Linked DNA regions of Struthio camelus. The protein of the gene in region 1 interacts with the protein of each later gene in a biochemical or structural test. Links are inferred from orthologs where the notes say so. Each region holds a gene or a part of one and is shown in the gene's direction. Other genes may lie near its edges.

Region 1 (10,121 bases):
CTGCTCATACCCACCTCAGACCTCCTCCATCTTTATATCCCGGTAGCCGCGTCTCACCTGACAGCTCTGTCCTTGCTCCTAGCTGGATCTCTTACAACCCCTGACTTTCTCGAGCTGGAGCTAGAAAAACAAGGAACAATCTCCAGGATTGTTCTTTCTCCCACCTTCCAAGTTTGCTAGTAAGTTAGAGAAGGACTTTCCAGCCCTCTTCCCCAGCCTGATCTGTTGCAGCATGGCCACCAGACATTCCAGCTTTAGCTGGTGAGTTCCTAATGCAGAAAATTGTAAAACGAGGTCACGCTGTAAGCTAGAGGAAGAGTTGAGAAATAGACTTAAATCTTAATTTTCTTCTTGTACAGGAGAGAGGCAGGTTTTATTACACCATTTGGAAGACTCTTCAGAGGAATCTAACGCACCTATTCTTTCACAAGCAGATTTATTTCCGGGAGCAGTTCCCAGGAGCTGTTCTGATGTTATCTGTGGGCTGCTTTGAGACATTCAGATGCCTCACATGCTAAGCCCAGCAAATGAATGAATCCTCAAAAGGGATATACTTATTGAGTGAGACCTTATGCTTCACTTTGCCTGATTGCCTGGCTAATTAAAGGATGTCAGGGGTTTATCCCTTGGGCAAGGCATGGGAACGGAGCCAATTCCCACCAGCTAAGACGTATACGGTGGTTTGGTCTGACATCACTTTGCATTTTTGGAGCAATGCAGTTTTCTAGGCTGAATAGTAAGAGTCCACTGTGCCCTCCCGATATGTGGTATCTTGTAGACAGAAGCTTACTTCCTATGAAGGAGTGTAACTATAATTACTGTTTAATCACCGATAACTATATTCATATGGATGCTTCTTCTATAGGATCTCACAACAGTACTCACTTTCATTAGGCTGGGAGCCCTGAAGTGTCAACTTGTGGTTTACTGCAACCTGAAGCATTCATTGTTTCTTTTATGGCAGGCAGGGTGTATTAGTGTATGTATGTATGTGCATGTACACAGTGATAATTAGACATGGTGGGCCAGACTGACAGCTGGCGTACATTAGTTCAGATCTGGTTTTAAATGGCCTGATATTGTTTACAGCAGCTGTTGGTCTGCGACTAAGTTGCACTTGTGTAGAAACCTCTTATCTTGAGGAAGTATATATTAACAAGCTACAACTGTTTGTCCCTTTCCCTTCTCCCCCTTCTTTTGCAGTGGTGAATATGCTTTGGCAGAATATACTGAAGTGAAAACAGTCACCATTAAACTCTCCCAGAAGAGTCCATGAAAGCAGAAGGCCTAAAAATGCTGACACTCTGAATGTGACACATGGGGGACGTGTTCAGAGCAAGGGGGAGGGGAGGGGTAGGAAGGAAAATCGAAACAGCACTTGTTTGGAGAAACACCTTACTTTATTCCTCTAGAAACACTGAATCTACTGGACGCCATTCTGTCAACTAGCTCTTCAAAAACTGATTTAACTGACCCTACTGGCAGCACAGCACACGCTTGTACTACGCAAGTCCCTGGCTGCATAGTCTGCTACCTGTGATTAAAATACTGGTCAGTGTTTTCAGGACATCTGCTTTTCAAAACGTGCCCCTGAAGGACTTGGACGTCAATGGCAAGTTAGAGTGACTTCTGGTACCGTTAGCATGGATTGTTAAACACCTTCAGAGGCGTATGGGTTTCACTTGGCATAAATGGACTTGAGCGTAGGGCTAATATAACTGAAGTTGATAAGAGTTTGTGTGAAGACTGCAATCAGAGTTTTAGATGGGAGTGTAAGCTTTCACGAAAGGAACTGTAAAGCAATTCTGTTTGAAAGAGCTATCTTGGTCTCTCTAAAGATACTTGCATCCCCCATATTGGTGATATTCTAGCCCTGAATGAGGTTTATGGAAGTTTCTTAGATGAATCCTTTGGGGCCAGTATTTCACCCAATGTAGCTAGACTTTAAAGTGTCCTATGAACTAGATGTTTTGCTGTACATGCATACACGTGCTGCACATGCAAGTTACTGACTTGCTAGCCCCTCTGGCTCCAAATGAGTCACAACGGTATCTCAAAGCTTCGCTATAGCACTTTCTGCAAGAGGATTTTGCACTGTACTTACCGTGATGACACAGAGTTGAATGCTAAGCATGTAGCATGGTAGATACCCCATGGAAAACATCCACGGCACACAGACCCAAGCCCGTCCTACTGATCTGAGGGCAGGGAGCAAAAGTGCTGCAAAAAGCTGTCTTGCTGTGTCTTGCTCTGTCACTTTCAGACTGTGTGGACATCTCATTTTTGAGCCAGAGCTAATTATGTGAGTAAAACTTACAAGTTATCCTCACTGCTTCTTTCTCCCTTACGAGTGTAGCTTAAAGTAGATTTCTGGAAGCACAGTATGAAAAGGCAGGTGCTCCTAAGCATATACTGAATGCTAAAGAGGTGGGTGTACAAACCAGTTACCGTGGAATAAGATGTGGCCAGACTTAAATGTGTCAGCAGCTCTGCAGCAATTGTCCCTGTGAGTCCTATCATCTTGTGGCAAACGGAGTAACTGGTCCTTCACTGAGGAATAAACTACCTTGCATTCCCTCGTTTACAGTTGTATAAGCATGCACACAAATAGCATCCATGGAGCGGCTGTCACACTAAGTTCATACCTTAGTATATCCTGCAGTTAACTTCTTTGCAGATGTTACTTACTGTGGGCTTAAGGAAAAGCCATATGCTGTCTTCAGTTCCTGGGTTTGCTACTTCCCTCACCCCTGATACTGTACTGAAGAACCACTGGCAAACCTACAGGAAGCTCCATGTCGATGCGGGCTGTAAGTACGTGGTAGGTAGTGGGGTCAGCTGAGTGGGAACTTTGGCTGATCCCTTTGGGTTCGTCCTCTAAGAGCAAACTGATGCATGTTCCTTAGTGAATTATCTACAGATCGCTATGGAGCACTGGTAAAGATCATTGCTGGGAGTTTTCCGGGTGTCAGGGCTTGAAGCAGAAATGCAGGTCTAGTCTGTAGTCCCTGAAGCAAGCAGGGATTTAACCAGTAATTTCCTCTGATCAGAGATGTACCCAGTCAGTACAAGTGCTGTTGCATGTGTGGACCTTTTTTGGAGGGGGAAGGAAGGTGGGTGGTGATGAGTAAGGAGAATGTTTGCATGGGCCTAAACTTCCTTATTAGTTAGTGAACATTGAAACTGCACTTCAACACTGCTTAATTTCTCAAATGACATACCTCCAACAATTGTGTACAGCTGAGTGCCTGTCTTCCGGTGGATATGTGAGACAGGGCTTCCACAGGTAAGTCTCCCCATCTGGTGAAGAAAATGTCCTGCCTACCCCATGAAAGGCCAAATGGGAAAACTGTAAATAAGCTTCTATTTTTGTAATACACTTAGAGTGCAAACATCTTCTCAGACAAACATTTTACTTTTGCCAAGTTGATGGTTTTCTAGGGCTGCAGTCAGACAACAGGGAGGCGAGGCAAATAGTAAAAGGCTGGTTATTTTGATGTAGCTTCTATATTCATTTTTGATAAACAGTGGTTGAAATGGAAATCATCTGGTACTCTTAAAATCCTAGTAGTCTGCCTTTATATGTATAATGTATATTTCACCTCTTTTTTTCCCCTATCAAGTTTAAAAAAAAAGTCAATGTATCTCTTATTGTATAAATCAGGGTTTGACTCTACACACTGAATTATCTAAGTTATATAACACTAGACACTAACTTTAAAGTAACCCCTTAGAGGGTATATATTCTTTCATTGCACAGTAAGGCTTTCATATGAAATACTACTTTTTAAAGAAAAGAACTATATTTATAAATTAGGATACAGTTAATCTAATGTATTTTTATAGTTAAAGGTACATGGAAATGCTATGTTTAAACCTCATGTATATATTTAGAATATGGGTATCTTTTTGTAATAGTTCTCTTGTTCCTAATAAATGTTTAACTTTGTGGTATAGTTTCTAAATACTGTATTCTGGTATTGCCTAGGAAGGATGACTGAAAGGGACACACTTCTACTGACTTTACTCGTTTTAACAGAGAAGTAACTGTAATCCTTTTTTATGTACGCTGATTAGTGCCTTAAGAAAATTCTGGCCCCTCTAACGCAAGTGTTAAGACCCCTTCCATCAGCGCCCCCCCCTTCCACTCGACTCAGTCCTCCTGTCTGTTTTTCATTTCATCTCTGAATTTGGCCCATTGCGACACTAAAAGCAAACACTGGAAAGGGTTAAGGTTTCATGCTTCTGAAACAAAATGGCCCTGTATTGCTCTAGTTGCAGGGGGCTCTTCTCAGAACAGCGCTCTGTCTGTTCCCCTCGAGTCAGTGAGCCAGCGGGATTCCCCAAACAGGAACGTGCCCTGGGCTCACAAGGGGCGATGTAACTTCAAGATACCTTCCGCACATCGCAGGACTGAATGCAGAGTGTGTTTGTGCATCTGTGGATGTGGGGATTCAGTATCTCACTGGGGGACTGAGAAGGAATCTGAACTTGAATTCACTTCTGCATTTTGTGAAGAATAGCCTATTTTAAAAAAGGCAAGGGAAGTAAAGGGCTGAAGTGTGGTCAGTGCTCTACAAACAAAAGCTAGAGCGTGTGTTTGTTAGCTTATTATCTAAGCAGTTGCTTTTGTTAAGTTGTGCCATTTCCAGTAAACGGGGTGGGGGAGGTGAGGGAGCAGGGTTGCAGCTGGCAGGGGCAAGCACAGCTTCTGCCAGTTTGAAGTAGGAGGGATCCTTCTCCCATTCTTGGGGTGAGCCTGAAAGGCAAGGGGCTGGGGACCACCCTGCCAGATGAGGCTCCTTGCCTCGGTCCGGCTTGCTAAACCCTGTGAGACGCATCCCTCACTCTCATGACTCTGCTCCACCCTGTCCCGTTCCTATCCAATTTCCCTCATCTGCCACGCGGACGGCAAGCGAGAACGCACTGATATCGTTGCCTTTCGTCCGGCATTCACTGCTCGCATCTGGTAACACGCGTGTGAGAAAAATACCAACCGCTGTCAGCTCCCTACCTAGGCCAAGCCAACCCCCTTGAGTTTTTCCTGCACTTGCAAACGGCATCGCTCAGAAGCTGTGACACTAAACATGGAAAAGGTGAAGGCTGGAGATGCAAAGAAATGATTGTGAGTGACATAATCGATGGAGGCATAAGCCAGGGAGCCTGGGATGAAATTTAGAAAGGAAAAAAAAAAACCAAGTTTTTTTAGCCTGACTGTCTGGAGAAATTCTCGTTCGGGGAAATGACAGTGTTTATCAAAATAAAGGCAAAACTAAGTGATGTTAGTGGTTTTTCAAACAATTGGGTGGAAAAGGCTGCAAGAAAGGTCTGGATAAGAGCCAGGCTGTGAGGCGTAAAAGACAGCAGCCCGGACAGAAGGGCGCCAGATGGGTAACACTGCTAGGGCTGCAGCTAGAAGCGGGGTTCACGGGCACTCGAACCCAAGTGAAAGCATCGACGAGGACCCATCCTCTCTGTCTATCTCCACAATCACAGCACGAGAACACCCTAGGACAAACCTCAAGACTAGTCAGAGGATGGATATGGCTACTCCCATCCTCAAGCGATCATCGGAGATCCCTTTCTTCTGTGGGGCCAAGGAAGAAAAAAGCTGTGTAGGTAATGTAAGGAGTCGTCACGAACAGTAAAATAAAGGGCACGCAAAAACGGTGTTCTCGTAGCTGGTCCAGTGGGTGGGGAAGAAAAAGCCCCATCAGGCTTGGGAGAGTTTCCTGGTAGCAGGAGATGAAGGGCTATGCGATGGGGAGCGCAGCGAGAGCGTAACGCCTGCAGAAGAGAGGGGGCAACCTTGCTTTGTTTTTCCAAAAAGCGGTAGGCTTCTTCCCCCAGCCGGGAGAGGAGCAGCTTGCAAAGACACAATCTGCGATTAACTCCGCTGGCGCTAGGGCCGGGCCTCAGCGGAGAAGCAGACCCAGAGAAGGGATCCGCGCGAGGGCCGAAGGCAGCGCCAAGAGCTCCGAGAAACATGCGGGACGCGACACGGGGGGCTGCGGTGACGGCGACGCCACCCGAGGGACCTGCTGGGGCTGAGAGACGCGGTCCTGCTTCCGACCCCGACAACTCCAGACAGACCTTTCCGGGGGGGGGGGAGGAGGGGAACAACACAAAACACAACAAAACCGAACCCCAATGGCGTGAGCCCGCGTAGCAGCCGCCCGAAGAGGGCAGCTCGCTGACGGGGTGAGCGCGTCCCGTCGCGCCGAGGAGCCGCAGGCAGCGGCCGACCGCGCCGCCGCCGCCGGGGCCGGCACAAGATGGAGCCCCGCAGCCCGGCCAGGGCCCGCGCGGAGGCCTCTGGGACGGCGGCGGCGGCCGTGGTGGGGCCCGCGGGCGGGCCCTGACCCCGCGCCGGCGGGCCCGGTGGCGGAGGAGGCGCCGCCGCGCTTCTGCCCCCGCTCCCTTTTCCTTCCTCCCTCCGCCTCCCGCGCCGCAGAGCGACGAGGCGGGCGGCCGGCGCCGGAGGAGGAGGAGGAGGAGGAGGCGGTGACGGCGGCGCAGGGACCCCGCAGGCAGGAGGTAGCGCGGGCGGCACCTGCCCCGCGCCGGGGCTGCGCTGAGGGGGCGCGGGGTGCGCCGGGCGGGCTGCGAAGGGCGGGGGGGGGGGCACCAAAAGGGTTTAAAAAAAAGGAAAAAAAGCAAAGAGTTTAGACGGAACTTGGGGGGAAGCGGGCGTGCTTGGGAGCCGGCGATGGGGGGAAAGGAAATACTTGCGAGGAGCCGTAAGGAAAAACTTCCTTTTATGTCCGGGCGCCGAGCGGCGGTGGCGGCGGCGGCGTGTAACGCGCAGCCCGTTGCCGCCTTCCTGCCGCCGCTGCCCGCCGAGCCACCCGGCTCCGCGCCCTCCCTCCTCCTCCTCCTCCGCAGCTCGAGGCCGCCCCGGCTCCCTCACGCCCTTCGCCAGGTGCTCGGCAGCGAGAAAACCCCGCGTTGGGGTTTTCTTTCGCCTCGTCGCCAGACGGGCGCGGGGGCCTCACGCCGGAGGACGAGCGGGAAGGGAGCTTGGCAGGCCGGGTCCGGTTTGGGAGCTTTCTGCAGCCGTTTCCCGCCCTCCCGAGGGCAAGGATGCTGTATGCCTCCTTCGCCGTCCGCCCTGTGGAGGAGGGAGCGGCGGTTCTTCTTCCGCGCGGAGCTGCCGAAGGCCGCGGCGCGGCTCGGAGGTTCGCCTAGCTGCCCCTAGCAGGGAGGTCCCCGCGCGAGGCGGTGGGTTACGCCGCCGTCAAACGGAGCGCTTCAGCCTCCAGGCGCGGCTTCGGCCCCGCGCCTCTCTCTCGACGGCGCAGGAACGAGCCCGCGGGCCGTCGGCGACGGCCTCGGCCGCCTGCTCCGGCGCGCGGCGTTGCCCCGCGCGTCTTAACGCAGCTCCTAAGGCTAAGTGGACCTCTCGAGAAAGAGTAGGTGGTTTGAGTAAAGGACTTGTTTCTGGAGGGTTTCCCCCGATTGGGAGGTGACCTCGGGTAAGCTGTGGCGTGTCTGGGTGCCTGACCGCGCTTCGATGCGCGTGCAGCAAGCCTGGCTTGGCTGGAGGAGCTGAGAGGAGGATCTCGAGATGGTACAGACACGGTCGGATATGCTGGGGAGCGCGCGGCGGGGACGCTCGGAGAGCAGCTTGGGTCCAGCTGTCCTTTTTCTGTTTGCATTCGGGACCACCTTACCTGCAGAGCCGCCCAGGGTGTGCACGCGTCCCACCGGGGCCTGGGCTGCCAGCCCTCCTCACCCGGACGATCTGCAGCTGGGGGTGACGAGCCAAGGAGTAACAGGAGCCTTAACTGAGCTCTGGGAAGTGCTCCACAATGAACGATGCTACCCGTGGAAAATATCTTCCTTAGAAAAGCAGACATTAACTTCTCTAGACGTTAGCTAAAAGCCAGCAATAATAGCGCCTCAGGAGAGAAATTGGGGCTGTGTGAAATGGGATGTAAATCAGCGTTGGGATGTATTCCTTCTCCGTCCCGCTCCTTCCAAATGGGCTGCCCAGCCTGTAGGATCCCAAGTAGTACGCTGTTTTTTCAGGAGTTCTCCGTCCCTAAATCAAATTTAAATGTTTTTTGCAGGTGTTACAGCTGAGCTCATATTGTTGGTAACTTTGGGTAAAAGCACTTCAGGGATGGTTTTTATTATCTAAACAAAGGTAGTGAAATACAGAGATGCACAGGCAGTACTCCTTGCAGGGGTGCTTTGTGGCAATAATACCTTTATGGTTCAGGCGTTTGGTGTGCTAGTCACAGTGAAAGGGGACTGGTTATCACAGATTCACAGCACGGTTGGGGTTGGAAGGGACCTCTGGAGATCATCTAGTCCAACTCGGGACAGGTTGTCTCTGGGCAACCTGTTCCAGTGCTCAGTCACCCTCACAGTGAAGAAGTTTTTCCTCATGTTCAGACGGAGCTGCCTGTGGTTCAGTTTGTACCCGTTACCAACGTCACTCCCATTATCTTTCCTGAAAGTTTTTTGCTTTCACTACGTATGAAGCTGGGTAGAAATCCTGAAATTGGGAGTGTTTTCAAACCTCCGTGGTGCATACTGACCCCAGTCCGGTATTTCTCCCACGATCGCTGCAGGTGTGCACAGCGTGCCCTAGCTGTACCGCGAGGGAAGGCCACGCAAAACCCAGCATCTGCCAAAAGAGCTATTCTGTTGGCCTTTGCATGGGGACATATTCTTTTTTACGGTACTTGCTCAGCGCATTTACAGTGAGGGTGCAGAGAGGGCAGCTGCCAGCGCTGGAAACATCATGTCCCCTCCGTTGTCAGGATAAACGGCCGGGGCAGCTTTTGGGCGGCACAAACAGCACAGTAGCAGTCTTATCTGTGCTCGAAAGGGTTACAGCCTCCCGTGAGACCTCCGTGGCACCTCCACGCTGTCCATCACGCCAGGGCTGTCCTGAGAGATGAGCCACTGCCGCCATTTTCCGTGACGGGGACAGAGAGAGGGATGCTCTGTTGCTGGCGTGCAGCGGGAGCTGCGGCCATCCGGCCCACCGAGGAGGAGGCGTTTGGCTGTGGGGTGCGTGCGAAAGGCTTGTGTGGAGTCTGATCCGGGCAGCTCAACCTGTGTTATTTGCAGCACCCACCTTTGAAAAGCACTCACCTTTTTTTCCTGCCTTTGAAAAGCACGAAAGAACCACAAACTGCAGCCGGTGGCTTCCTCCACATGCAGGAGGCAGGGGCGTGCGTGGGGCGGTTTGGTTCTCGCTGCTGGCCACCACAACGCAAGGGTCATCAGAAACTGAATTTTACCATACCTGCACCCAAAGCGCAGATGTTCGCCTAGAAACTACTGATAGAGGGTTGGGTGATTTGGTAACGTTGTCAGCTCGTTGTTAAAACCCTATTTAATGGGGGGAGAGCAGGAGGCTGCCTGGAGAGTGGTGATGGATGGGTGTATTTTTATATTCTCCTTGCTCTTTGATCCCAGCCCAAGAGAGCAGCTCTGTTCAGGCAGGGTTCACGGTATACTTGGTCTTGCTGGCCAACCTGGGTACGTGCGCTTGGCTGAATTAGAGCCTCTGCTCAACACTGCAGCATCACAACACCAGACACGAGAAAGTCTAATTAGAACCAGAGGTGAGGGGCATCGTGTCATGTTGGAGAGGCCTTTACAGACTGAAACTGAAAGGAGAAGATGAAGGAACAGTGATGCCAGTTGGGCACACACCGGAAATCCACCCCTAGCCTTAACCTCTGTGGAAGATGCGTTAAGGGAAAGAAAATCACAGGTGTGCAGCTCTAAAGAGGGAAGAGGTTGGAAATGCCGCGGCGGATTGAGCTCTTCGGTCTTCTGCTGCTTCTTATGCAAGGCAATTTAAGAGAAGGCAACCTTTAAGAGTACTTAAGGGTCTGACTTGCCTCCATGCCCACGTTTGAAGCAGCTTGCTGTTTTCATGGTATTAGAGTTCTCTGAAATGACTGGGCAAAGGGGAAAGAAGCTTGTGTGTTCCTCTTAGCTCTTTTTTCTTTCTGTAGAGGATTGTCTCCACATCAGTAACCACATCAGTATTTTTCAGTTTCTCACAGTAGAGTCTTACAAGAGTCACAGTCGTCTTTGTGAACGGGAAAGATTTTGAGGTTGCAGTTAGGATTTTTCCAGCTGCATTGCATCAT
Region 2 (9,937 bases), on another chromosome or scaffold:
GTAAGCTAAAATAACCATAACCAAATCACATGTTTCAGAAGTAAAGGTGGTTACGAAGCTGACTGATGCACAATGCTGTGCTATGGGTGAGATTTGCTTGTGCATGTATGAAGACGCGTGTGTTGGAAATGACGTGGCTGGTTACCCATAAAGTGGAAAAAATAAAAATCACACTTCAAAGACTATAACCAGCTATGGCAAAACATTAGTTCCTAATTCAGTGTGTTCTAAAGATGATGCCCTTAGTATTTCCAAAGTTAGAGTCTTTGTATCTTTACATAGTTTTAATGAAGCATACATGACTTTCGGAACCAAATCAAGATGTAGGTAAGATAATCTGTATCAGTCGTTTACCTCTGGAGGGCTTGTTTCAGTCATGCCCTTCTAGCTTCCAATAAGCAGCCCTCCTCCATTTTGTAAAATGTTGCACAAGAAGCAGTAGAATATGCTTACGGTAGAACTAGCAGGGAATGTGAGACAGGGATTCAAGTCTGCAAGCCGATTGCAATAGGAAACCTTTCACGCATAGATCTAATATAAGAGGCTTATATCTTGGGTTTATAAGGACAGGACCGGGAATCATGCTGACAAGCAATATGAGCTACCCACCAAAAAATCATGTTAAATCAAAATATCATGCTCACATTGCAACTGTTCTTTTCCCATTTCTTGTCCTATTTTTTATTTCCTTCTTGAATTTGTATTCTGTTTTTTCTAACAGTGTTTCCAGTCTAAATACTCTAAAACATGTATTCAAGCAGTCTATGCACAGTCATTCTCTCAATTTAACTAAATTTTAGAAATTTCAACACTTCCGCAGCCACAGTTTTCAGGCCAGCTGGCAACAATAGAGGAGAACATAGAGACAAAGGCATAAACGGATTTTTTTTTTTTTTTTAAATATGACTCCTCAAAAGTCAAAACGTCTACAATAAACTCCGCTGTTTTCAAGGCTGTGCAGTTACACTTTGTAACTGCAATGATGCAGCTGGCACTACCTGATTTTAAAACAAGGGCAGGCATGTTTAGGAATAGAGCGCTGCCTGATTTTGTCTCACTAAAGTCTCTGGAAAGAGTGACGTAACATCTACCTTTCCATAAAATCAAACATACATAGTGGAAGAACTCAAATGACTATGCCTAAGTTCATGTCAAATGCTAATAGCGTTTTTTCAAATTTTTCTGCAAATTCTAAAATGATAGCTTTAGATGCTATTTTAACAACTATGGCAAAAAATGTTTGATTTTTCTATTTGATGTTATGCCCTTCACTTAGACAGTAATATAATATTCAGCAAGAAAATCATCTACATACCTGTTGTAATGCATATGCTTTCTAAAATTTTTACTTAAGAAGTCCTTGTAGAAGTCAGCCATTTCTTCTGCATTCAGCGTTGCTTTTTGACCTGAAAATAAGTTTTAGCATAACGTTGTCAAGATAGCTCTTGTGATTAAAACACTGGGTGCAGACTCAGGAAAGCTAGTTCGGGTTGCTTGTTCCTACAGGCTTCCTGTGTATCCCTAGACAAGTTAATATGCTTCTATCTCCCTATTTTTTTAAAAATCTATCTAGGGAGCAGAGCAGATTAAAAATGCTGATCCTCTTGAAACTTTGATTTGATGGTACAATTCTTTCTGCTGCCTTTGGTAAATTTCAAGTAACTCATATGAAAGATTATCTGCTCTGGGCTGTCAGATTTATTAACAATAGGGTGGACAAGTCTCTTGTGGAAAAGTAAGTTCAAGACAGGACCTGAAACATATCCCTGAATAAAATATATATATACACACACGCACACACACAAATATAAAAAAAAAATCTGAATATGCCACTCATATAATGCAGAATATAAGAGAAGATGGATTCTCTCCACAGATCATGAAAGGAAAATGTGTGGCTACAGCACAGAAGAAGCATCCAGAGGACCAGATGATATTCTGACCAGATATTTCCTATATAAACTTTCTGGCGCTTTTGATATTTCCAAAACGAGCATCAAATCCCTATCCCCTGGGACATTCAGATATGATGAGGGAGACAGAATCGAGAGATTCAGCTTGTTAGCGTTTCAAAATGAATTTAAAGCTCCTGAGATTTATCATCAGAAGGTAAATTATTGATCACGACTATCTGTCAATATTTACAAATTTAAAATATTACAATGGATTAACATTCCATGAGGTAAACTTATCGTAAGACCATTTGAAAGCTGCCTGCTTAACAGCTACAGTTAATTTGTTTCTTCATTCTGGTATCAGCAGAACTAACCGAGTCTTCGTGTATATACGAGAAATAACCATTGTTCCAACTGCACATACGTATAGGTTATTACCAAGAGAGATACACACACACGTGTCTTGTGATTTCAGTGAAAATTTCCAAACAAGTAGACTGTGGATAGCAACAATTTTGCTCCAGCATCACCCATCAGCAGGGCCATGGCGTAGAACAAAACCAATTACTCAAACATTTGCACTGAATGCAATTTTATTTTTAAGGAATGTACAAATTTACTATCTTCTCTTTTACTTCTAGGATATAAAAACCTAAAAGAACAAATCAGCAATATAAAATAAACTTTTTCTTAATAACATGTAATTTAATTACAATGCTTTCTCCACTACAAAGTGATCACTGGGACACAAATAAAAGTGCAACACAACGGTCTGTGAAATACTGAACATCAGAGCAGGTTTTCTATCAAACCAAAACAGATCTTTACTCTATGAACAAAACGTTCAACCTCATGTTACAACGGCCAACTCGCTGTATTACGAAGGCCTCTTGTTTTCAATTTCATGTAATGAGTTAGAGAGGGAAACATTTTACAGTAACTGTCCTCAGGCAAAGAAGGGCAAAGAGCAGCTGCTGTCTCCTCGGAAGCTCATTCTCCCTCAAGGAAAAATAACATGTTCATTGTACATATTATCGACCCGAGGCTGAACAGTGTGAATCTATCCACTCAACCGTAACATGCGCTTGGGGCAAACAGTATATGTTTGGCTCAGCTAGTTCACTGGGGCGATGAGCTGTGAAAGGAAAAAAAAAAACCTTCCCCCTTAAGGGTACAGAATGATGAAATTACTTTGCTAGGATTTCAGCACATTCCTTCCAGTGGAAGGGTAGGGGGGAAGTTGTGCAGATCTGACCTGCACAGCTTTCAAGAGCTCCCCTCCTTCTCTGTTAGACTCCTGAAAGGAGCATAAACAGGCAAAAATAAAAATTAAACAGATTTCAGAGCACATCCTAAACTACAAAAAAAGATGTCACTGACCTGTTTCATCTCTCATTTTCAGACCCTTGGCTTTCAGTCTTGAATAAATAAATTCTTCTTTTTCCTAAAATATGTTTTTCCACATTAGAACTTAACGTACTCAGTCCTTGAAGTTAACCATTGATTTTAATCACATGCCAGCTTTGCGCTTAATACCCTCCAAAATATACACAGTACTCATTGCACTTGGAGATGTCAAAAAAACATTTTCCTGAATCCAGTGACTTAATTACACTGATAATTGTGTTGCTTCGATGTTAACTGTGTGCATCAATTAATTCATGCAAGTGTCCTGCTGAAACATACGCAACTTATTTGTGGAAGTAAAGTTATAGCTGAGCTTAAGTATTGTTTTGCAGGATCCAAATCTTGCAAAGTTTTACAAAAGACAAATTATGAAGACTTGCTGTGTTACTTATTTTAGAATTTTAGTATACAGGAAAATGTGCAACCTTAGAAAACTGAAATTACTTAGATGGAAAAAGAATAACTATTAGTATTTCAAATTTTCAAATTTAAAAAGCAGTTCTAGCTAATTAAGGGGGGAAAAAAAAAAAAAAAAAAGCATGCTCCACTTACTCCAAGACCTTTGCAAGTCTGGGGACAATACAATGATCGAAGACCATCACAAGTGATGGTGAATTACTGGACTGTTGCTAGTCTTCCAACAGAATTTGGTGTGTCCTTACCCATGGTACAATGTTTAAAAGAAAGACCAAGACTGAAAACGTCCCCCCTTTTCGCCTTGTTAGGGGTACATTGCCAGTGCAAGAGCGCACATCCCTCATTTACCCTCAGTGGTCTTACCTATACTTTTCTCACTTACGGTAGAGCAAAAAAAGCTGCAGAATCATTTTCAAAAGCAGCTCTAGTCAAATATTACAGGTCTTGCATGTAAAGGTGGTTACAACTTTACCTTTTCAGTGCAAAATAGAAAAAAGAAAAAGCAAATATCCTTTTATACACTAAACAGCAGTAAAATACATAAGCTCTTCAGTTTTGTAGGTCATTTTAAACAAACTAACATTGAGAATAAAATTAATGACAAAAAGGAATTTCCCCAAAGACAGTGAACTTATTAAAAGAAGCTGTAGTAGCAATTAAAAGCAAGAGATAAGTAACTGAAGGCAGAATTTAATGCTAGTTTGTGAAGGGAAAAATCATAATTTTGTGAACTTGGCTATTTGGGATAGCCATATAACGCAGGAATCATCGCTCAAGGTCATCCTACTGCGCAGTCATCAAATCCTTTTAACGGAGAACAGGAACGCCTTTGCTTGCAGAGGGCCAGCACCCCAAAGGCTGCGGGGGCTGGGCAGCGGCGCGCGGCGCAGCCCTCCCCTGCCCGCTCACCTGCTGGAAGGACACGTTCTGGCGTGCCCAGAACCGCTGGTTCCAAGCCTGGGTTTCCTCTCTGAGCTCCCTGAGCCGGCGCTCCAGCAGGGATTCATTTTGGGGAACATAGAAGATTACTGGTCGGAGATTTGAGTACTTGTCGGGCGGGCCAATCCAATCGTTACAAGAATGTGCTGGAGGGCAGAAACCCGATCCCTTAAAAATACATACAGAAGGATTATCACCACTTTAGCGCAATTTCTGCGGAAGAGCCTGATGTGAAACAAATCCCGCAACTCCACACGACTGGATATAACCTTAAAACACGCAGCAAGGTCAGAAGTCATGCACATTCATTCATGTTGACTGAAAACTGTCATACGCTCATGACTCACTCACGTTTGGAGATGAATTACAGAAAAGATACCTTTAACTCTTCCGACAGATAGGAATCATGATAAATAACAGTAATTAAGATAAGCCCCAAATCCTGCTCTTTTGCTTGCTTACCTTACCGGCGCTCCCCCGGCAGGAGACCCTGCCCGCGGCCTCAGCTCTGTCCCCGCAGCCGGGAGGAGCCGGGCCCGGCCGGGTCGAGCCGAGTGGGCCGCCGCCCGCGCCCTGTCCCGTCCCGTCCCGCCGGCTGCCCCCGCGGCACCGGGCCCGGCCTCGAGCTGCCCCCCGCACGGCTTTACCCCGCTCTCCGGCCGCTCAGCCGCCGTCCCGCCGCCGCCGCCGCCGCCGGCCGAGGAGAGGCAGCGGCACCCAACGTCCCCCGTCAGGCGCCGCGCGCCCGCCGCCGCCCTAACGGTCGCGGCCATCGCCGCTTTACGGCGCTCAGGGAACCGCCGGCGCTGAGCGCCCCGCGGCCGGGGGCTGGCGGAGCCGAGCGGGGCGGAGCGGGGCGGGGCGGAGCGGAGCGGAGCGTGCGGCCCTCGGCTGCCGCTCGGCCCGTGGCGCAGCGCCGGGACAGCGGGCCGGCGGGCGAGACAGGTGAGGCGGCCGGGCCGGGCCTGCGGGCAGGGAGGCGGCGGCGGCGGCGGAGCGAGCGGGCGGGCGGGCGGGTCTGCTGCGCTGTGCGCCGCGGGCCCGGCGGCGGGTGGGAGACCCCCTTCGGGTGCCGCCGCCGCCGCCGCGGGCCGGGGGCTGGCGCAGCAGCGGCCCATTGTGATCTGCGGGCGCCGCCTGGCCGCCCTCCGCCCCGGCTCGGGGCGCCGCGGCCGGGGGCGGCGCGGCCTGAGGCGGCGGCGCCGGGGGGAGGCCCTGCGGGGCCTGTGCCGGCTGGAGGCGGCGGGCGGCGGCCGGGGGCGCGGCGCGGCGAGAGCGGGTCTGCGGCGCGCTGCCGCCCTGCCCTGTCGCCCAGAGCCGGCCGCGAGGGCAAGGCTGAACTTCTCCGGTAAACGCCCCGAGCTTGTTGTGGCATCCCTCGGCTTCCCCCCGCCGCGGCCGGAGGTGTGAAAGAACAGAGGAACGGCTGCAGAGTACCGGACACGGTTTTGTTTTTGTTTTTAACTCCTCTTGATAGAGGGATTTAAGTAGCTGCCCTGCTGAGGTGTCTCAGGCCGCCACGGAACGAAATGCCCGCATAGCGTTTTATTAATCGTACGTCTTTTCCTGACTTTCTTTGTAGTTCATCTGAAACTGGAAGAAAGAGGAGAATGGATATGGGCAACCAACATCCATCCATAAAACGGTTGCATGAAATACAGAAAGAAGTCAAAGAGATCGAACAACAAGTTGTCATCTTCAGTGGCTTGTCTACTGACAAAGATTATAAGAGACTAGAAAGGACTCTTACTAAACAGCTTTTTGAAATAGATTCCGTAGATACTGAAGGAAAAGGAGATATTCAGCAAGCCAGAAAGCGTGCGGCTCAGGAAACGGAGAGGCTACTCAAGGAACTGGAACAAAATGCAAACCATCCCCACAGACTGGAAATAGAGGCTATATTCAAGGAAGCACAGTTGCTTGTGGAACGTGAGATTACACCTTTTTACAAAGGAGGCAACTGTATAAGTGATGAATTTGAAGAAGGTATTCAGGACGTTATATTGAGGCTTACTCAGGTGAAAACTGGAGGGAAAATTTCTTTACGCAAAGCAAGATATCGCACTCTGACGAAAGTATGCGCTGTTCAGGAGATTATAGAAAGCTGTGTAAAGCAACAGCTGTCCCTACCACTCTCTAATGATGCACATCCTTCTGTCTCCAAAATTAACTCTGTAATGTGTGATGTGAACAAAGCTAGAGGAACTCTTATTGCACTTCTAATGGGAGTTAATAGCAATGATACCTGCAGGCATTTATCCTGCGTGCTCACAGGCTTGATTGCTGATTTGGATGCTTTAGATGTCTGTGGTCGCACAGAAATAAGGAACTACAGAAAGGAAGTAGTCGAAGAGATCAATAAACTGCAGAAATATCTGGACTTGGAGGAGGAAGCAAATTCTACTCATGCTTATGACCTGGCACAAAATCAGTCCATTCTAAAAATAGAAGAAATCCGCAAGAAAATGAAGGAAGTTAATTCTTTACTTTTAAAAACAGAGAATGCTTCTGACTTGTATTTGGGATCCAAGGCAGAACTGCAAGGATTAATTGCCCAATTAGATGAAGTCAGTCCAGGGAAAAACCCCTGTATTAGAGAAGCCAGGAGAAGAGCAGTAATAGAAGTGCAGACTCTGATAACGTATATTGATTTAAAGGAAGCGCTTGAAAAAAGGCAAATGTATCCTGAGCAAACTGCTGCTGAACATCAATCTCATAAAGCAGTTTGGGGCGTTCTTGGAAACTTGTCTCAAATTCAGCAGGAAGTGATTTCATTTGATGGAAACAGAATGGATAAAAATTACATGAGACTGGAAGAGCTTCTTACAAAGCAACTTCTAGCACTCGATGCTGTTGATCCACAAGGTGATGAGCGGGTTAAGGCTGCCAGAAAGCAAGCAGTGAAGCTTGCACAGAACATTCTTTACTATCTGGATATGAAAACAGATGAATGGGAGTACTGAAACAGCCATAGTCTAACAGAAAATACCTTTTTTTTTCCCCTTTGGTGCTTTCTGCAGACTGATAGTTCAATTGGCAGCACGTGATTAAAAGTGATGTGTTGTATGTTTGCTTAAATCATGGCAATTGCATAAGAAGTTGACTTGGCTATATGTCTGCTATCCCACGCGCTCACCCACTTGCCATGGCAACTGTCAGTACACCATCAGCAATTCTGGTCATTGCTGTCAAGCAAAGAAATGTGATCCTCTGAAGGAATGGCTTAATACCTGGTCGAATGGGCTTTTTTCCCTGTTTTTGTTGTGATAATCTTGTGCAATGTTTAGAGAGTGCAGCTTTTTCAAAGGTGCAGAAACTGCCTTATGGTATAGGACTGGCAGAACTACTTCAAGAAGACTGGGCATAAAAATTAGCGCTTAAGCATGAGGATCTATCCAGCAAGTTCATAGCAGTCTGGATATACTCTTAATGTGCTGTTATGATGGAAAGTATTAAATGCAAAAAACTGCTGGCTTTTGAGTCATACTTGATTTATTCCATCCAGCATACCTTTATGGGTGTTTAGATTTCTTACCTAGCAGAACTATAATGCCAACTGCAAATTAGCATTTACATAGGCAAAGCCAATTAGGTCTGTTTTTGTAATATCTGACCCGTTCTGTTTGCAAATGCAGGGTTTTTTCCTTCTGTTGGTGGAAACTTCCCTCAAATTCTTGCTTTGAGGTAAATGAGACTTGGAGAGGAAAATCTGTGCACATACACTGATTAGATAAATGGGATTTGTAGGGTTTCATACTGCTCTCCATAAACCCCTGAAAAATGCACTGAACTTTCTTTAGTGGCTACTTAGGGTCTTTTTAAACTCTGCTGTTAGATTTGCTTTTGACTAGTCTTTTTCACATTTGGTAAAAATAGAAGTCACGCTGAAATGAATGAGCATTTCAGAATTATTTTTGTAAAATTAGGTAGCTATAGAGGTGTCCCTAATGATTTAAATGTGTATTATGTATTTCATATCGGTCAGGTGTGGCTTCAAGCATGACTTGGAAAAGACCTGTGGCATATATCTCTCTTTGCAACTCATCGCTTAATGGTTTTAGTAACTTAGTAAATAAGCTTGCTTATACTGCTCTAGGAGCCTCCCTTATTATTTGTAGCTGCTAGCATCAGTGACATTTCTACAGTAGCATGTGTTTTGGCATTTTTGAGAGCATGGCATTAAAATTAAATGGATCAATATTTAATTATGGATATTTTGCACTTAGTTCTTTCATGTTGAATTTGTAAATTATTGTTCTGTAGATGATTATTTGCACCACTGTAAGGAGTATAAACAATTTTGGATGTTAAATTAAAACTATTTTTAGATATATTTTTAACTCCTTAGAGAAGACGATACTTCTGTGAGAGACAAGTGCCTTTATGACACCTTTGACTTGTACCATCGTATGTAGACATAGGAACTGCTGACTGGCAGCTTGATGGAGCTGTAATCTTTACCCACTAGATTTATCCTATATCTCATTCCACTATAATATATGTTAAGTTAACATAATACAATAGGTGACAGTTGTTCTCTGGAGACTCGATAGTGAGTCACCAATTTGGGAAATACAGATTCTGTTTGAAAATGGATGTGTTGATATGGAGATTAGGGAGTGTGGGCAGGTCTTTCTGTGCCTATTACTACAAGAAGGGGAGAATGATATTTACTCCATAACATGCTTTCAGATGTTGATGCAAGGCTGTGTAACTTCAGAGCATGGAAATATTTTGTTTGTGACTGTACAGGTGATTTCTTGGCAATTCAGTTGACAAAAACAATCTTTTTTTTTTTTTTTTTCCAATTAAGTACAGTACCTAAGGCACAATTTGGCAATGTCAGAAGATTTGTTGGAGGATTCTTTAGAGACATGACCCTGTTGAATTTATCTGTCTTTACTTAAAAAATCATTTCTTCTAGGTAAAATTCTTATCTATATTTACATATTGTGTGGTTAACACAGATGATTAATGATGTTACACACCTAAATTATTTTACTCATTTCAAGCTTTCCTACATGTTTGAACTGCAACTTCTAATGTATACCTAAATTTTTAGGAAATTTAAGAATTTAATAATGTGATAATATTATTCACTTTAATCTTACTGTCAGGTCTGCAGTGATTTAAAGTGGTAGATTGTTTAACAATTATTTTAGTATCTGTGTTCTTTGGAGGTTATGTGAAACTTTAGAAATTTTTGAAACTCTTATGTAAAGATGAGTAAGTATAGTTTTAAGATCTATTCTATTTTAAATTTGTGTATTTTTTTAGCT

Evidence for each region.
Region 2: the proteins of LRRK1 (region 1) and BAG5 form a complex in vitro, tested with the Homo sapiens proteins (2 studies listed by BioGRID and IntAct, with this or other methods). The link is inferred for Struthio camelus from reciprocal best matches to the Homo sapiens genes LRRK1 and BAG5.

What each region holds. Positions count from the first base shown.
Region 1 is NC_090953.1:4,465,266-4,475,386, reverse strand, and holds the start of LRRK1 (leucine-rich repeat serine/threonine-protein kinase 1), read left to right. Parts: upstream 1-6,347; 5' UTR 6,348-6,537; intron 6,538-10,121. Other genes in the region: ALDH1A3 (retinaldehyde dehydrogenase 3), read left to right, coding at 1,204-1,276.
Region 2 is NC_090946.1:72,464,766-72,474,702, reverse strand, and holds the start of BAG5 (BAG family molecular chaperone regulator 5), read left to right. Parts: upstream 1-5,510; 5' UTR 5,511-5,603; intron 5,604-6,240; 5' UTR 6,241-6,268; coding exon 6,269-7,621; 3' UTR 7,622-9,937. Other genes in the region: COA8 (cytochrome c oxidase assembly factor 8), read right to left, coding at 1,316-1,406, 3,276-3,339, 4,629-4,826, 5,306-5,431. UniProt on the Homo sapiens protein: Co-chaperone for HSP/HSP70 proteins. It functions as a nucleotide-exchange factor promoting the release of ADP from HSP70, thereby activating HSP70-mediated protein refolding.